Linked DNA regions of Arabidopsis thaliana. The protein of the gene in region 1 interacts with the protein of each later gene in a pairwise test. Each region holds a gene or a part of one and is shown on either strand. Other genes may lie near its edges.

What was found.
Region 2: the proteins of NPSN11 (region 1) and DER2.2 interact in a protein complementation assay, tested with the Arabidopsis thaliana proteins (one large-scale study listed by BioGRID).

The regions. Positions count from the first base shown.
Region 1 is NC_003071.7:14,827,479-14,836,087, reverse strand, and holds NPSN11 (Putative plant snare 11), read right to left. Parts: upstream 5,463-8,609; 5' UTR 5,002-5,462; coding exon 4,925-5,001; intron 4,832-4,924; coding exon 4,739-4,831; intron 4,665-4,738; coding exon 4,533-4,664; intron 4,456-4,532; coding exon 4,361-4,455; intron 4,237-4,360; coding exon 4,157-4,236; intron 4,006-4,156; coding exon 3,949-4,005; intron 3,817-3,948; coding exon 3,724-3,816; intron 3,621-3,723; coding exon 3,546-3,620; intron 3,205-3,545; coding exon 3,109-3,204; 3' UTR 2,671-3,108; downstream 1-2,670. Other genes in the region: AT2G35200 (DUF740 family protein), read right to left, coding at 1,595-2,200; AT2G35170 (Histone H3 K4-specific methyltransferase SET7/9 family protein), read right to left, coding at 6,483-6,656, 6,741-6,999, 7,452-8,473. UniProt on the Arabidopsis thaliana protein: t-SNARE involved in diverse vesicle trafficking and membrane fusion processes, including cell plate formation.
Region 2 is NC_003075.7:2,456,519-2,464,029, forward strand, and holds DER2.2 (DERLIN-2.2), read left to right. Parts: upstream 1-3,334; 5' UTR 3,335-3,616; coding exon 3,617-3,715; intron 3,716-3,809; coding exon 3,810-3,909; exon of another isoform or gene 3,910-4,080; coding exon 4,081-4,295; intron 4,296-4,367; coding exon 4,368-4,451; intron 4,452-4,530; coding exon 4,531-4,584; intron 4,585-4,677; coding exon 4,678-4,860; 3' UTR 4,861-5,221; downstream 5,222-7,511. Other genes in the region: KEA3 (K+ efflux antiporter 3), read left to right, coding at 1-77, 167-328, 422-511, 601-972; CLS (cardiolipin synthase), read right to left, coding at 5,386-5,479, 5,598-5,692, 5,781-5,855, 5,995-6,080, 6,482-6,533, 6,697-6,771, 6,855-6,921, 7,005-7,486. UniProt on the Arabidopsis thaliana protein: May be involved in the degradation process of specific misfolded endoplasmic reticulum (ER) luminal proteins.

The DNA.
Region 1 (8,609 bases):
CGAGGGGTTTATAAATGAGGTTGCTTAAGATCCAGCCGTAAGGTGAGGTTGGTATATGAACTGACTATTATAACCTTTTTACTCTTCTCTCGCGCGTTTTATTTTGTAACGGTAACGAGAGGTGGTTAGTTTATTACCCAACGACCCAGTTTTACATTTACCCCAACTACGAGAGGTAATTTTCTTTCCTCCGTAATTAACCCTTTTGTATCTGGTTATTGGTTTTGACGTCATTTACGTTCCATATTAAGATGGATTATTTCATGTAATCAAGTAATTATTGTACTGAATTTATTTAACTTCTGTTTCTTCTTTTTTACTATAATCAAATCATATGAAGAAAACTAATTAGCATATTCTGTGCGTACCATCGGTAGAAAGAAAACTAATTAGCATATGTCTAATAATCTCCTATATGAAGAGCTTATATAGATAAAAGCAAATTCGATTGTATTTATCTTTTGTTAACGAAAAATATATAATTTATTTCTTAATGTATAAGAACCAGTTTAAATTATACCTCTATTGATTTGGGTTTGTTTGTCAATGTATTGACTAAAGTCAAAATTAGGAACACCAAACACATGAGTTAGTTTGGGAGTGGCCAACAATGTAAAATATCCGTTAAAGTTGATGTACAAGAGACCAAGAAAATAAGATTGGTATCGTTGAGATTAATGTACTCTTGTCAAAATGTAGCCATAGCTCTTCTATATTCTTAGTTTTGTATGATATGGATTAAAATATTATATTGGGTCGATTTAAGAAGAATCAAAAGGTTGAGGGAATTATTTTGAAGAAAGTGGAGAAGTGAAGGGTAATGAATTTGGTGATGATGACAATGGAGAGAAGGTGCAACCGTGTGCGTAGGTTTGTCGCCACTCTTTGTCGGCTCTGTTCTCTATCTGCTTAACAAGCCCTCACATTTCCCTATTTCCACGTTCTTCTTTAGGATATGGAGACGGCTTCACTCACGTGTTTGGTAGGGCTTCCACGCACATGTATCCATGTTACTTCTTCCCATTTTCTTAAAAATATATTTTAAAAGCCATGAAACTTTTTTACTTCTCGATAATTGAGATTTTGTACTTTGTAGTTTAAAACATCACTATGAGTATGTTGTGTTCTATTTTTTTCTTCTGAAGACTGAAGATTTGTTACATTTGGAATATAAAAATTTTCTTGTGAAGACTGAAGAGTTTTACATTGATTGAAATATAAAGTTCTTGAAGGAATAAACGGTTAGGTTTCTAATAACTAACAATGATTATTTTCAACATTCAACTGAATTTAGATGAGTTTAAAATTCCCTGATCAAAATAACAAAAGGAGGTTGATGGTACTACAAATAAGTTGCACCTATTTTCGTAATCTTAAGTTTGTCGTAAGTACTATGTCGATAACAGAAAATTATCGGCATGAACCAAAATTGTAAAGAGCAACATGAACATCAACGAATTTATCAGGTTCATCCGATTTTTATGTATAAGTGTAACATCAACATTTTCATTATGAAAAGAAAACATTAATCAACTTTTACGTAAAACAAAAGGAAAAAAAAAAACAGAACACACGACTAGAATAAAACTAAAAGTTAACCTCTGTACAATGGAGATCTTTGTTGAAAAATCATCTTGGAGACTCTTGATTGTCTGAAAACCTTAATCGGACTTGGAAAGTACCAACCATTTCCCTTACTAGTCACCGGCGTCGGTGAGAATAGAACTTCTCCGGCAACGGAATTCGACTTCTTCATAACCTTAGCAGCCTTTATTTTCGTCTCTTCTTCTCTGTTTCCTCTGAACAATCTCCATAGCCAACGTCCACGACCCGGTTTAAGATCCTTCTCAGTTTCTAATATCGGTTCCGGTTTAGCAGACCAGAAATAAGGACCCGTAATCGATGTCGACCTCCGAAACGCCGGTTCGCATTCAATCAAGTTGGCAACACGGCCAACCGACCCAATACGGGCGAACGAAACGTCACCTTCTCCACGGGAAGACACGGAGGCGCGTGGAGTACACGAACAGGGAAGATCGTGAGCACAATCGGGACAGAGAGAGGAGAGGCGTTCGTGGAGGCAATAAGGACAAACACCGGCAACGCAGACAAAACGACCTTCGTGTCTTGAGCATTTCTGCCAAACGCTGCCTCCTCCTTCGTCCAAACGCAAATTCGTTTGAGTTTTCTCGCGTTGCATTTTCTTGTCTCTGAATCTCAGTTGCTTGTTGTGAAGGAGAGAGAGATGGAGAGATAAAGGTTTTAATATTGGAGTAATCAAATAAAGATTAATCCACTAATAAGCCCCACTCTGCTTAAGTCTTAACCATAACCGTAGTTAGTCAAACTAACTAAAGCTTAACTCATCAGCTCCGAATTATATGCCTTGATTATCGATCCCTCGCATATCCTTTGTAGATTTACGACTCACTATTACGTGGTTAATTTAGTAATTGTAGTTAAAACTTTCAAATTTTTATCTAAACTCACTGATATATATTAAAATTTCCCACACTACACATTTTTTTTTGTTACATCAATTAAAAATTTTCTTATTAGAAACTCTAAAAACATCATTGTTGTTACATGAAACTATGATACAGATTAGTGCAATTTGTAGATTCGGCAGCTTGTAAAATCGTATTGTTTTTTTGGTCATTGTTTGTAAAGACTTTTTGGTCTGTTTACCGTAATTTTTTTCGCTGATAATGAGAGTGAAGTCATATACTAATATATATCGGATATGATACAACTCAGTTACAACTTTGAACCAGTGAAACAAGTTTTTATTACCAGAACATGAAACAGAGAAGACGTTTTAAAAATACACGTACATATGATAGAACACAAAAGAGTCATCCTTATACAAACACATGAGCTAAAAAAGATGGTTTTGATCCTGGGTTTTTAACGAAAGGGAATTTGATTCCTGTGACTGCTCAAATGTGCAGCAGCCAAGAGCCATGTGAATCGAAACTGGTTACTTTCTCAAGTGAGGCGGTTTCATCTACAACAACATGACTAAGGGGAGGATCAAGATGTGTATGGGACAAAAAAGTGTGCAACGTACCAGTATTTTGAATGGTGTGAAAATGAGATATTTTTTTTTCAGTAATGGTTCCAGAGCAGACGTCTGTTCATGGCTGGTGGAGCTAGGCCCACACCCGGTATGTCGCGAATGTCTTTGTTGTTTGGGTTCACAATCTATACAAAAGAAATAAAAAGAAGAAGTTACATGTATGATAATGTGAACAAGATAACAGCGTTGGAAGGAAAGATATTGCAGATGAATCTAGAAGTGAGATCAAATTAACAATCACATAGGAGACAACTTTATATATTGCATAACTGAATAATGGAGAAAGACAAAATTGTGGGTATTTGTGCTTTTTATAGGTTCTTCGATCAACAAGGTATCCAGCAAAGTAAAAAACATAACCTCATATTATTCAAGAAAAAATAATGATGAACACCGAAATCTATTTAACTCAAACAAGTATCCAAGTGTGTGTGCACATTTGAATAAGAAAGGAGATGAGATGTACCTTGACGATGATGATTGCTATGACACCAATGACGATAAGGAAAAGAAATGCCATAATACATTTGTCAGTGGCAACCTGATAAAAGAAGGACAGAGAGTAAGTGAAAGGGACAAGAAGGAGCTGCAGATAACAAGTAATGATGATATAAAGAAGAAATAAGGAGATTTATGAGACTAACCTGCCTACCAATTTCCTTGACCAGCTTGGAGGCTTTCTTGAGTGAGAAATGAATAGAATCGAGCTCATTGACAACTCTACTCATTTGCTCGGTCTGAACAAGGAAAATGTAAACTATCTTAATAATTCTCAGAATTCACACACAAATACACAATCTTGGAAAAAAATGAGATTCAGGTAGAAGCAGGACTGTTTGGAAAGAAACAAGTGTGGGCTAACTACACACCTGAGCCTTGAGAGCTGCTGAAGTATCTGTTCCCACATTTATAGTTTCTTGTACAATCTGTTGTCACAGACACAAAAAAAGCAGTGAGATTTTGCTTTAGTGAAGATGGAAAAATGGACACAAGTTATCACATGGCATTCACGGCTCCATGAACATTAGACTGAAATTTCAAGAGACAATAAGACATTCATATAATCTGAAAACGGACCTTTTTCCCTCTCTCAATAGCTTGATCTGTGTCATCCATCATTGAGTTTCCTTTATCCATTAACTCTTGATTGGACATGTCTGAGAGTTATTAAGTTTCCAGTAAATACTCTAGTTAGGTTGTATGTAATCATATAACAACAAAGTGCAATAAATATCTATCTCATTGTTAGTTGGTCGCAAAATACGAGATTTAAAGACTTACTTGAAGCTAATAAGACATTTTCTTCCATGTGTTCTTCTCCAGGTCCATCGAAAAGATCTACTCGCTTGTTATTGCTTGCTAGGTTTGATGAGTATCTGTATAACCATCCTCATTATCATCAATCACCATAAATATGAGCATCAGTTAAGCAATTAGCAAAAGTGTGACCTACTTCTTCTTAAGAGCAACATATGAGTTGAGTTCCTTAACCATAGATTGTCGTCTATCGTTCAACATCCGGTTAGTGCTGGCATCATTACCGCTTTCCAAGCTTTTGATTTCCCTATCGAAATCTTTAATAAGGCTGCAAAGAAGAAGAACAAGGCATCATCATCATCATCATTGGATAATCAAACACCAGATTCAATGAATGTATACCTCTTACAGTCACGCATTTTGTCAGTGAGTTCTTCCAGCTGCCTACTCTGCCTATTAGCATCTTTGATCTTCTCCAGCTTCTGGAATCCATTTCTGTAGAAAACAAAAACATCAAAACATTATTATATAGACACAAATACCAAATCACAAATGGAGAGAAAACGCTAGAGAGAGATTCATTCTCACGATAAAGCACGGAAGATGTCATTGATTTGTCCTTCGATCTCAGCCAGCTCTTCGCTAACCGCTGATATTGGATCCATCTTTACACAGATTCCCAGAAAAATTCAGTGCCGATATACAAAAGACAACAATGTCTCTTCTTCAGATCCACGCGAGCAGTTTTTGAAAAATGTCGACCACGAATCGACTCGCCGAGATTAGATCCGATGGATCTGAAATCGAATCACCTCCAACGAAAAGAATTGAAAGCCTGGTGTCAAAATCGCCGAGCAAATCGTAATAACAGAACCCGTGTTTTTTTTCTTCAGATCTAAGAACAATGTGGATGTTCAAAATCGATAACGAAGAGATAGATATCAAAATCACGAGCACGAGCTCTCTCTCCCCTACACCCAGATTTTATTTGTTTTGTTTTTCCCTAATTTCTCTCGGACATTTTTTGTTTTTGTTCTTGGGGAATTCTAAAAGCTAATTTTTTGCCATTGATTTGGCTCGAAGGGACGAAAATGAGAGATTTTGAAAAACTGCGTTACCGAAAACCAGTGGGACCCGCCACGACATCGTTTGTCAGTGTTGGAACTCATATAACCTGGGACGTACGATTGGTCACCTCTCCAGATCTGACGATCCACACTCTTTACATTAGCTTAATTTTGATAATTGACTTTAAATGAAATTAAAATAAAGAGCACATCATAATAATTAATTCGAAAACGAAACAAAACTTTCAGTCCTTCATTAAATTAGAATCGTTTATTTATTATACAAACCGGTAAATGCAAAAATCGAAATCCAAACTAAATTTGAAAATAAGAAAAATTAGGACAAAGAAAAAAAAAAAGTGTACTTAAGAAAAACCGAATTCAACTAATTAAGGGAAGTGTATAATGTCATCTAGCTTGGCCCAAATAAAAACGGCCTAAATCCTTGCTTTTAGTTCATTCAAATAAATGCTTCATAGCATGAGATGTTGTCTGCTGTGTGAATCATAAGATCCCTCTTTTGATTTCAGATTTTCAGCCCATTTTACATTGTTTCTGAATCTGTTGAAATGTTGTCTGTTAAGGGACCAGATATGGTGCCAGTCTTAGGAAGCAAATCAAGAAGATGGAAGTGAGTCAGCACAGCAAATACTTCTGCTAGTTCTGTGGCAAGTATGCTGTTAAACGGAAGGCTGTTGGAATTTGGGGATGTAAGGACTGTGGGAAAGTTAAGGCTGGAGGTGCCTACACGATGAATACTGCTAGTGCTGTAACTGTTAGGAGTACCATCAGAAGGCTCAGAGAACAAACTGAGAGCTAGACTTCTTCTACTCATACACAACTTTTCAAGACCAGATTCATCTTTTGTTATAAGACTGATATACCAGATTCTTCTAATTGTTTAATCAAGATAGGGATTTTTGGCTACATGTATGTCAGTTGCATTCTATGAAGCAGACCCAATTTTTTTCTTGTTGATATACAAAGATCATCTCTAGTTTATTATCTACAGTTTCAAACTAGCTTTGCTCATAAAGGAACAAGAAAACCTGTTAAGGAAGATCTCTTCTAACCTATGCTCAACAATTGGTTTCAAGATCGCCATCATTCCTGTGAAAGGTCTGGGATTGGACAGCCTTCACGGCTGCTACTCTAGCTGCATTCGCTGCTCTATTTGCAGCCATCACCGCTCTCTTGATCCTCTCTTCCACTTTCACAACTTCATGTGCTTTCTCAGCTGCTTTCCTTGCTTGCTGAAGGAGAAAGAGAGAACAAGCTTAGTTTAATACATATATGGTGTTTGCAGTACTAAAGATAAACTACTAGTTAACTTTTACCTCAACAGCATCAACAACTTTGGAATGGCTTATGGTAAAAGATGATCCAGGACGGATAGTCTGCTCGGTAGGACAACTGAGTACACCGTCTTCCCAATGACCGGCTTGTGTATCACCATTCCTGAAAGTATACATACCAAGCCCTTGCCTTCTTCCCTCGTGCCAAGCTCCTTCATACTTATGCCCGTTCGCAAAGTGATACACTCCAAAACCATGCATCTTGTCTGCAAAATACTCCCCAGCATACGCATCACCATTTCTGCAACAGCAGCATAACTCCAAGTTAAATGTAGTTTTAAAGCCATGGTACCGCTAAAGCATACTGGACCACCAGTGCTTCATGCAATTGCTTAAGATCAATGCTAACTGAGAGTAACACAAAAGCCTAAACTTTGATGTTCACTAGACTAGCTTATAAGGTGAGGATAACCACAAGAAGCAGGAAACAAAACCCAGTTATCCATCTGATGTCAGAAATCGAAATTGAAAACCTTTCAGAGGTCCTCCAGATTCACACACCCAAGTGAACAAGGGCAACAATAAAGAGAAAGACAACTACACGACCCTTCAAAAACAATGGAACTCAAGATAGCAAACACACTTAGACGAGCAACATATACAGGGATCTAATGCACCACCATTACAGGTCAAAGCACAACCATATTCCAGAAACTCAAATGACTATGCAGAGTAAAAAAGAACAATGCTGACCTGAAATGGTAACTACCAAGGCCATGTTTGACACCCCACTTGAACTCTCCGTCATATCTACTTCCATCCTCAGAGGTATATACACCACAACCATGGCACTGCCCATTAGACCATTCACCAGCATACACATCTCCTGTATAAAACGTATAAACTCCAATTCCATGTCTTAGACCTAACCTATATTGACCTCGATACCTACTCCCTTTAGACCATGTTTCTACTCCATAACCATCATATTTCCCATCAATCCACTCTCCTTCGTATTTGCCTTTCATAGAATAGTAATAAACTCCACTTCCTGAACACTTTCCTCTATGAAACTCTCCTTCATACATATCATTAGTGCCATACTTCTGAACCCAAGATCCTGAATTTGTCTTATTATTCTCCGCAACTGGCTTCGACCCAATGGACCAAACAACTCGGTCAGTGCTCGGCTGAGAGGAAGAGAATCTGGCAGGGATAAATGTCAGCAAGCGTGCGACAAAAAGACGAATTGATGTTAAGTGAGGAAGAGCGAATCTGAGAGAGATCGAGAGGATGAAGGATAAAGCGATAATCACAAAGACTAGACGAAGGAAGATACGAAGATTGATAACAAGGAAGAAGATGTATAAAGGAGGGACAGCGAGAAGAAGCAAGAAACGAAGATGGAAACAAATCAAACGGGCTCTAAGGGTATAGCGTAGAAGCTTCCTCAAGAACCGAGCAATCACAGGACGATAGGAAGAAAGAGAAGACAAAAGATTTGATGGGAAAAATGAAGAAATCGATCCTGATCGTGCCCGTGCGCTTCTTCGTCGGAAATGGTCAACACCGGTTGGGATATCAACCGTGTGATGATGATTCTGACCTTGGGGATGATTATACTTAGTGAAGCCAGAGCCTTTATTATCAATGGCGGTTCGATTTTTATTCTGGGTCTGATGATGATGATGAATCGGATTGGGGATTTGGTTTGGATCGGAATCGTCTTTCCCGATTAATCGTCGTTCTGTTACAGATGATTTCTTCAGATGCATTTACATAAAGAGTATGGAACTTGGAAAGAGGATTTGGGGAGAAATGGTAGGGGATTTAGGGTTGTTGAAAATTAGGGTTTTTTCCAAATCAAAGCCTCTGGTTTTTGTTCCTAAAACAGTTTCCAAGTTTTCGCGA
Region 2 (7,511 bases), on another chromosome or scaffold:
CAACGCCATTGGTCTCAGATAGTGATCTTGTGGGATGGCCTTATATTGGTTTTGATCTGAATCCTGCTGTAGTGAAGGTCTGTAACAGATAACTTCGTTTGTTCCTGACCTGATCAAATTTTTGGCATTCTAAACTAGTTTTTTCTTTATGGTGGTGGTTTGGTAGGAATCAAGGAAACTCGGTTTCCCGATATTGTATGGAGACGGATCTCGACCATCGGTTTTGCAATCTGCAGGGGTTTCATCTCCTAAAGCTATCATGATAATGTATAAAGGCAAGAAGAGAACCACTGAGGCTGTTCAAAGACTCCGTCTTGCCTTCCCCGGGGTTATTTCTCTCTTCCTTCTTCCTTTTGTCAATAAAATCGTTTGAGACATCAAGTTTAAGTGACAACAACTGTTCCTTTTAACATATTACCAGAGTCCTATTTACGCAAGAGCTCAAGATTTACCGCATCTCCTTGAACTAAAGAAAGCAGGAGCCACAGATGCAATTCTCGAAAATGCAGAGGTAAAAAACTTCCAAAAGATGTCTGCTCTTTTATGATCACAGTAAGATTTCTTTCTGAACGAGTTTGGTTGTTTGTTTCGGGTTTATAGACAAGTTTACAGCTCGGTTCGAAGCTGTTGACAGGATTTGGAGTAATGTCTGACGACGTAAGCTTTCTAAGTAAAGTTTTCAGAGATTCAATGGAGATACAAGCTCAAGAAGAAATCACAGCTAGTGAAACAAATGCTGGTTTGAAGCCAATGCAAATGAAAGCATCTGATATAAACGTAGTGTCTGCTGCAACACAAAAACAAGTCCAGCTCATGAAGCCAATGCAAATGAAAGCTTCTGATTCAAACTCAGATTCTGCAGCAGAGATTCTTCAAGAAACAGCTGGTTTGAGTCAGCCTCCTGAGATTGATGATTCTTCTGTGAATATAGATAATGGATTTGTTGGTAAAGCTGATAAAGCTCAAGATTAAAATTGCTCAAAAATTCTAACACTTTTTTTTTTTTTTCTGAAATGTGCAGCCAATATTCCAAACTAAAAGAAACAATTTTTTCTTTTCTTTTCTGTGATTATTATTATTATTATTATTTTTCCTCACTATCACTGTCGCTAAAAAGCCAATAGTTAGCTCAAATTCATTAAATATCTTCACTGTCTAGGTACTATTGAATCATGGATATTAGTGCCAATATAAATTCGAACATAATCCAATGTTGGTCTTTACAATGAAATGAATTGAAACAGATTTGATTATATTACTAAAGAAACAAAAAAAAATATAGTAAAAAAATATGAAATCCACACAAATTAAACATGGAAATTTAGAAAGAAAAAAAGTAGTTTCTAAATCTTAAAACATAGATATTGATTTTAATCCTTGATCAAATAATCCCTCATAAAATTGTAATTTAAGTCGTTTTGTTTAGGGTTATATTACTATCTATACTCAGATGATCGGAAAATTAATAAACTATGCATGATAAAAAATGGGGTTGCGGGTATGATATTTATGGGGTTGTGGGTATTATAAACATAACGATATAATATCTATTTGTGTTTCGACACGAATCAAAGATAGTGGGACGCTTAAGTAACATTAATATCACGATAATCTCTTATCTGCTAACACGAGCCTTTTTATTCGAAGCCTTTTAAAATAAGTCTCAAACAATTGTGTACGAGGATAATTTGATAACAGGATAATTTCATATCGATTCCACACGTTGTCGCTTTGGGTTTTGAACAAGAATCAAAACTTATATTGCTATTTAATAATATTAGTATCGCGATAATCTCGTATCTGCTAACGCAAAACTAATAACACTCTCTGATTACTAACCGTGTACGGCTAACATGATAAGTTTGTATCTGATAAACACGATAACGTTTAGTTAGTTTTTTTTTAAAAACCCATAAGCAAAAGCCTACAAGTGGAAATGGTAACGAAGTTAGTCGTTAAAACTACTAGCAGATAATTAAAATAATAACGAGACGATGTCAATTTGTGTTTTGACACGAATCAAAGCTAGTGAGACGCTTCGGTAACATTAAAACATACACTCTTATCCGCTAACGCGAGCCTCTTGTTTGTAGCCTTTTAAATTAAGTCTCAACGAGCTTAGCTGGTGACAATGTTAGTCGATATACCTTCTAGCAAATAAGCAAAACAATAATGAGAGTTTCGCAGGTTGTATTCTGATGTTTTGCAAAAATAATCAAAACTATTTACATTTTCTGATAATCAACGGTATCACGATAATCTTATAACCAATAACAAAATAATTTCGTGGCTGCTAATCACGATATCATTTTAGTTAATTTATTAAAAAAATCCCATAAACAAAGGCCGAGAGGTTGAAATGGTAACAATGTTGGGCGATAACACATTCTGATAACATTAGTATCACGCTAATCCCTTATCTTCTGATAAACATTAATCCTCTCGCCGCGAAGTTCTTTGCCAAAAGCAATCAGACGGGGAGGGAGAAGAATCGGCAGCATCGTTCCTAGAAAAAAAAACATAAATCCTTGTAAAACAACTCAAGATAGGAAGTCAAAATCAAAATAAAAAGGAAACATCTATATCGATTACTAGCAAAAGACGCGAGGAACAAAGCACAAATCTGATAGATGAACTTCTGTTCGAAAAACAGAACGAAATAAAACAAGAATTTGGAGGAATCATTTCTTTTTTTCTTACGCCTCAAAACGACAGTCTCTTATCTTCATACAAAACTGGAAAGAGACGAGTAACTACGTAAGAAAAAAAAACCATTAATAAAATAACACAACTTCCCAAATATATCTACATAAAATCTTCTTCTACACTACTGCAATAATATCCCTCTACAAGCTACAACTTACGCAATCGATAATATAGGGGTACATGTGTAAAATTTTTGTTAACAGTGTTGGGCAAACAGTGCAAAATGAAGAGAGTGAATTAACAAGTTTTCGAAGCATATCAAGTGATATTTTTGTTTATATGAGTTTTGAGGACTGACTTCGTCTAAGGTTTGTTCGTGGCAATAAAAATAAAGGTTCGAGTTTTTTGGGAGCTGAGACAATCACGCAGATGTCTGAGCTTCACAGATTATTCTCAGACAATGTTTATTCTTCAAACGACTACTGATATCGTTTGTGCTTTCTTTGTAGTATTTTTTGTTGTAATCATAGGTTTTTTAGTTTTAGTTATAGATTTTAGTTTTCTGTTTTTCTTTTCTAAAATGATATATAAATTATAAATACTTTTTTTGTTATCAGATATTGTTTAAGACTCGACCCAAAATTATAAATACATTGATGAAAAAAAATAGTATATAGCTGATGTAATCCACGCGCTTGCTGATTAGTCGTGCTCATGTAATTAAACAAATATCGCAAATGTTAAACTATTATACACATATAAATTTCTGTATATACAAAACAAACGAAGAAGACGAATCTCTCAGTTTCGTCGTTCGTTTCGAAGTTGTGCGTTGGTGAAATTTGAAATCTGAATACACTCATTGCAAACCTTAGAAGAAGAAGAAGAAGAAGAAGAAGAAGCTTCCATAGATTCCGTTGGGCTTTTACTGTGTTTGATTGATCGGATCGATTGCGATTACGGAGAAGATATGGCTCAGGCTGTAGAAGAATGGTATAAACAGATGCCGATTATCACTCGCTCTTATCTCACGGCGGCTGTTATCACCACCGTCGGATGTTCCCTCGATGTACGTGCTTGCTTGCTTATTCGCGAATCTTTTTTGGGGTTCTCTGAAATTCTCTAAATTAGGGTTTCATATTCTGATTGTTTTTGTTTTGCAGATCATATCTCCATATAACCTTTATTTGAATCCGACACTTGTGGTGAAGCAATACCAATATTGGCGTCTCGTTACTAATTTCTTGTATTTCCGGAAGATGGGTAATTTTCCCTTAACACTACTCTATGAAACTGGATACAACATTTGTGTGCTTATTACTTTCATATGAAGCTCTTGTCTTTGTCACATTATTAGCTCTAGGCTGCTACTTGTTAATAGCGTTGTGACTGATTGATTGCTTATAAACAAATATGTGTTTGGGGTTGTTGTAGATTTGGACTTCATGTTCCATATGTTCTTTCTCGCACGATACTGCAAACTCCTTGAAGAAAACTCATTCAGGGGAAAGACTGCTGATTTCCTATACATGCTCCTATTTGGAGCATCTGTTTTAACCGGTATTGTACTTATCGGTGGAATGATACCATACTTGTCAGCATCATTTGCTAAAATCATCTTCCTCAGCAACTCATTAACTTTCATGATGGTTGGTAACTTCTGTTTCCCACAAATCTAAGTCGCCTCTAAATATCAGCTTATAGTCTCTTGTGTTCCACAGGTCTATGTATGGAGCAAACAAAATCCTTATATTCACATGAGTTTCCTTGGTCTGTTCACCTTCACAGCAGCTTACCTACCATGGGTGAGTTTAACTCTCTCGTTTCCCTAAACTTCCACCGGAATGAATAAATAACATCTTCTGCAAATTCTGGCTTTTGCAGGTGCTTCTTGGCTTCTCTATCCTTGTTGGTGCCAGTGCTTGGGTGGATCTTTTGGTATATACTCAGATTATCCCAAAAAATTTCTTCTCCAGTCTCTTTTGATCTTTTGTCACCCAAGTTAACTTCAGTCTGATCAAAACATTTCAGGGTATGATAGCAGGTCACGCTTACTACTTTCTGGCTGAGGTTTATCCGCGAATGACTAATCGTCGTCCATTAAAGACTCCATCATTCCTCAAAGCGTTATTTGCAGATGAACCAGTTGTGGTTGCACGGCCAGAAGATGTGAGGTTTGCTGCTGCGCCTTTCGATGAAATCCACCAAGACTGATTCTGTCATCTTACATTTCCCAAACCTAAACACCCGAATCAGTAGTTTGGCTTGTGGATCAGATATAAATGGTGCAAAGGCAGATGATACACAAAAGTCTATTTTGACTCTGACACGTAGTTGCGACCCACACACCCTAGTTTCTAGTAGTTGGGTGTGTTTTGGTTCCTTCTCTTTCCTCCCATCTCTTCATCTTTTTGTGTATACAAACATCGTTTGCTTTTAGTGGTTATTGATATGAACACACTCAATTTGTACACAACCTCTACTAGTGTCGCAATGTTTTAGCGAGGGAACATGTTTTGAATTCACTGCCCGACTCAGATATCAGAAGAAATGTACTTTTGTTCAGATATCAGAACAAATGTTTCATTGCTTTTAGTACATTTTTTTTCCTTTTCTATTTCAGTTAGCAGTAGAAAACAGTGAGAGCTGCGTATTCCGGAAAACAACAAGACATGTTCAAGCTTCTTTAATTAAGCATGTGCCTCGTGTGTGAAGTTTATAAATGTTGGAAACTAGAAACTATGATCTCTTAATCATAGATATAGGTCTCTTCTTCCAGTATTGTACACCATAAGCTGCAGTTGAAGCCATAGTCGTCGAAGCAACTAACCAGCTGGATACAAAACAACATGAGACCAATAACAAGATTTCAGAGAACACACTTCATATGTTTATAACTTTAAGGGTAGTGATTAGTCCAGCTGTGTGGTAATTCGAAAAAGACCTATTACCTTAGATAAGTGATCCATGTCTGGGTGTCTGGATTCCCAAACTCTGGTTGAAGTATTGCACCAGCGACTAGAGTCAACTGGAAAACTGTATTCACCTGTCGATAGACATGTTCCATTAACAAATCAGTTACACATACCAAAGATGCCAAGATGAGAACAAGCTGTATCACCTAGAGATCATACCTTGCTTATAAACAATGGTTCTACTTTCTGAGGACTTGAACCATCTAGATTGAAGAAGTCACTCCAAGTTTTCCACTGAAAGAAACAAGACCAATATGATTCCCATCAATAAATTTATTCGTGTTCTTGTTAAAGCATATGGTCGAGCAGGAAAAAAATGTAGGGAAACAAGAGAAATTAGTTTAGTGGTCTAGCTCAAGTTACAAAAATTCACCTTCCAGTCCAAGTTTAGTGCCCTTAGGTAAACTGCACCACCAACGAGTGCAACATCCCGTAACAACACAATTCCAACCAGTCCAGCTTTAGAGCACAAATGTCCCATGCATCCACCAAAATTGAGTATAGTATCAAAGATTTTTAAGAAGTTTAAAAGGTAGTAGTGCAATCTAGGACTAACACACACAGCCGAGTTTAGCAACTAGTTAATTAACTTAGTACGGTTTCCTCTTGATACATCCATGCAATCTTGTAAGGAGGTTTGTTCAAGGAGATCAAATAACTGTGCTTATGAAATTATGAATACGACAATTCTGATACATTTTTCCCAGGCGATCACTCAATTGGAGTGTAAATCAAAGCACATGTTCCTTATAAGAGAAAATTCCGCCCTTCAACTTTGTGAACTCTAGCTATTTCAAAGTTTCAATTGTAACTGCTAACTTATTATCTACCAGGAGTAAAAGAGGTAGAAGAATACTCACGATGTAAGAGATCCTTCTGCACCATTGCTACTGCTACACACCCGATAAGAACCTGAATTCAAAACACGAGCACAATCAAGAAAACGGAATTGAAATGAAATGAAACCTCACACATGTTTGCAGCTTGAAACTAACCTTAACTCTCAAACACATTCAGAGAACATCCACAATGAGCCAACAAAGTAAAACACATAATAGATAAAGAAAGACTTTACCTTGTCTGCAAGAGGATCAAGGTACGAGCCAACCACAGAGTTAATCTTCATCCTCCGAGCCACGTAACCATCTAACTACAAAATCAAGCATCTATTAATACAATGTTCTTCTTCCAATACTACAAAAAAGAAAAAAGAATCACAAAGAAGATGCATACCCAATCACTAGCTCCAGAAACAGCCAACCCTAAGAAAGCAGAAGAATACATCTCATTCGAGATCATCCTACAATAGAACCACAAACAAAGTCTCAGATTCTTCATTCTCCTAATATTATCTTCCTGAGGAATATATACTTCTATACTTACCACCAAAGCACAGGACCAGATACTAATCTCGCCATTGATATCATATTCGGCACATTAACAAAACTCTTGACTAATTTTCCACCATCTTCTTCCTTGGAATCGTTGCGATCCACCGTCAATATGTTTGGTACCACAGACTGTAACCCTAACTGTCTCGGAAACCTAGTTCTGCTTCTAATTCGATCCAATCTAAGATTCAGAGCTTCGACTTTTTTCAAAACAGAGCCGTTTCCGCGCCAGTGCAAAGGTGTCGCAGACTGGAGAAGTTTCCAAGGAGGAGAAGATAAGAAGAGAGGTCCATTAAGAGGAACGAACCATTTCGAAAGCGGAGATAAACGGTGTGAGAAATGTGGGAACAACGGCGAAAACTGCGGTGGAGTCAGAGAAACGGTTCCGCCGGAAGCTGTAGCGGCGGTGAAGAATGGTCTTGTTTTCCGGTGATTGATTTCAACTAGCTTTCTTAGAGATCTGTAAATCGCCATTGATCATCAACAAAGCAGCTTCGTC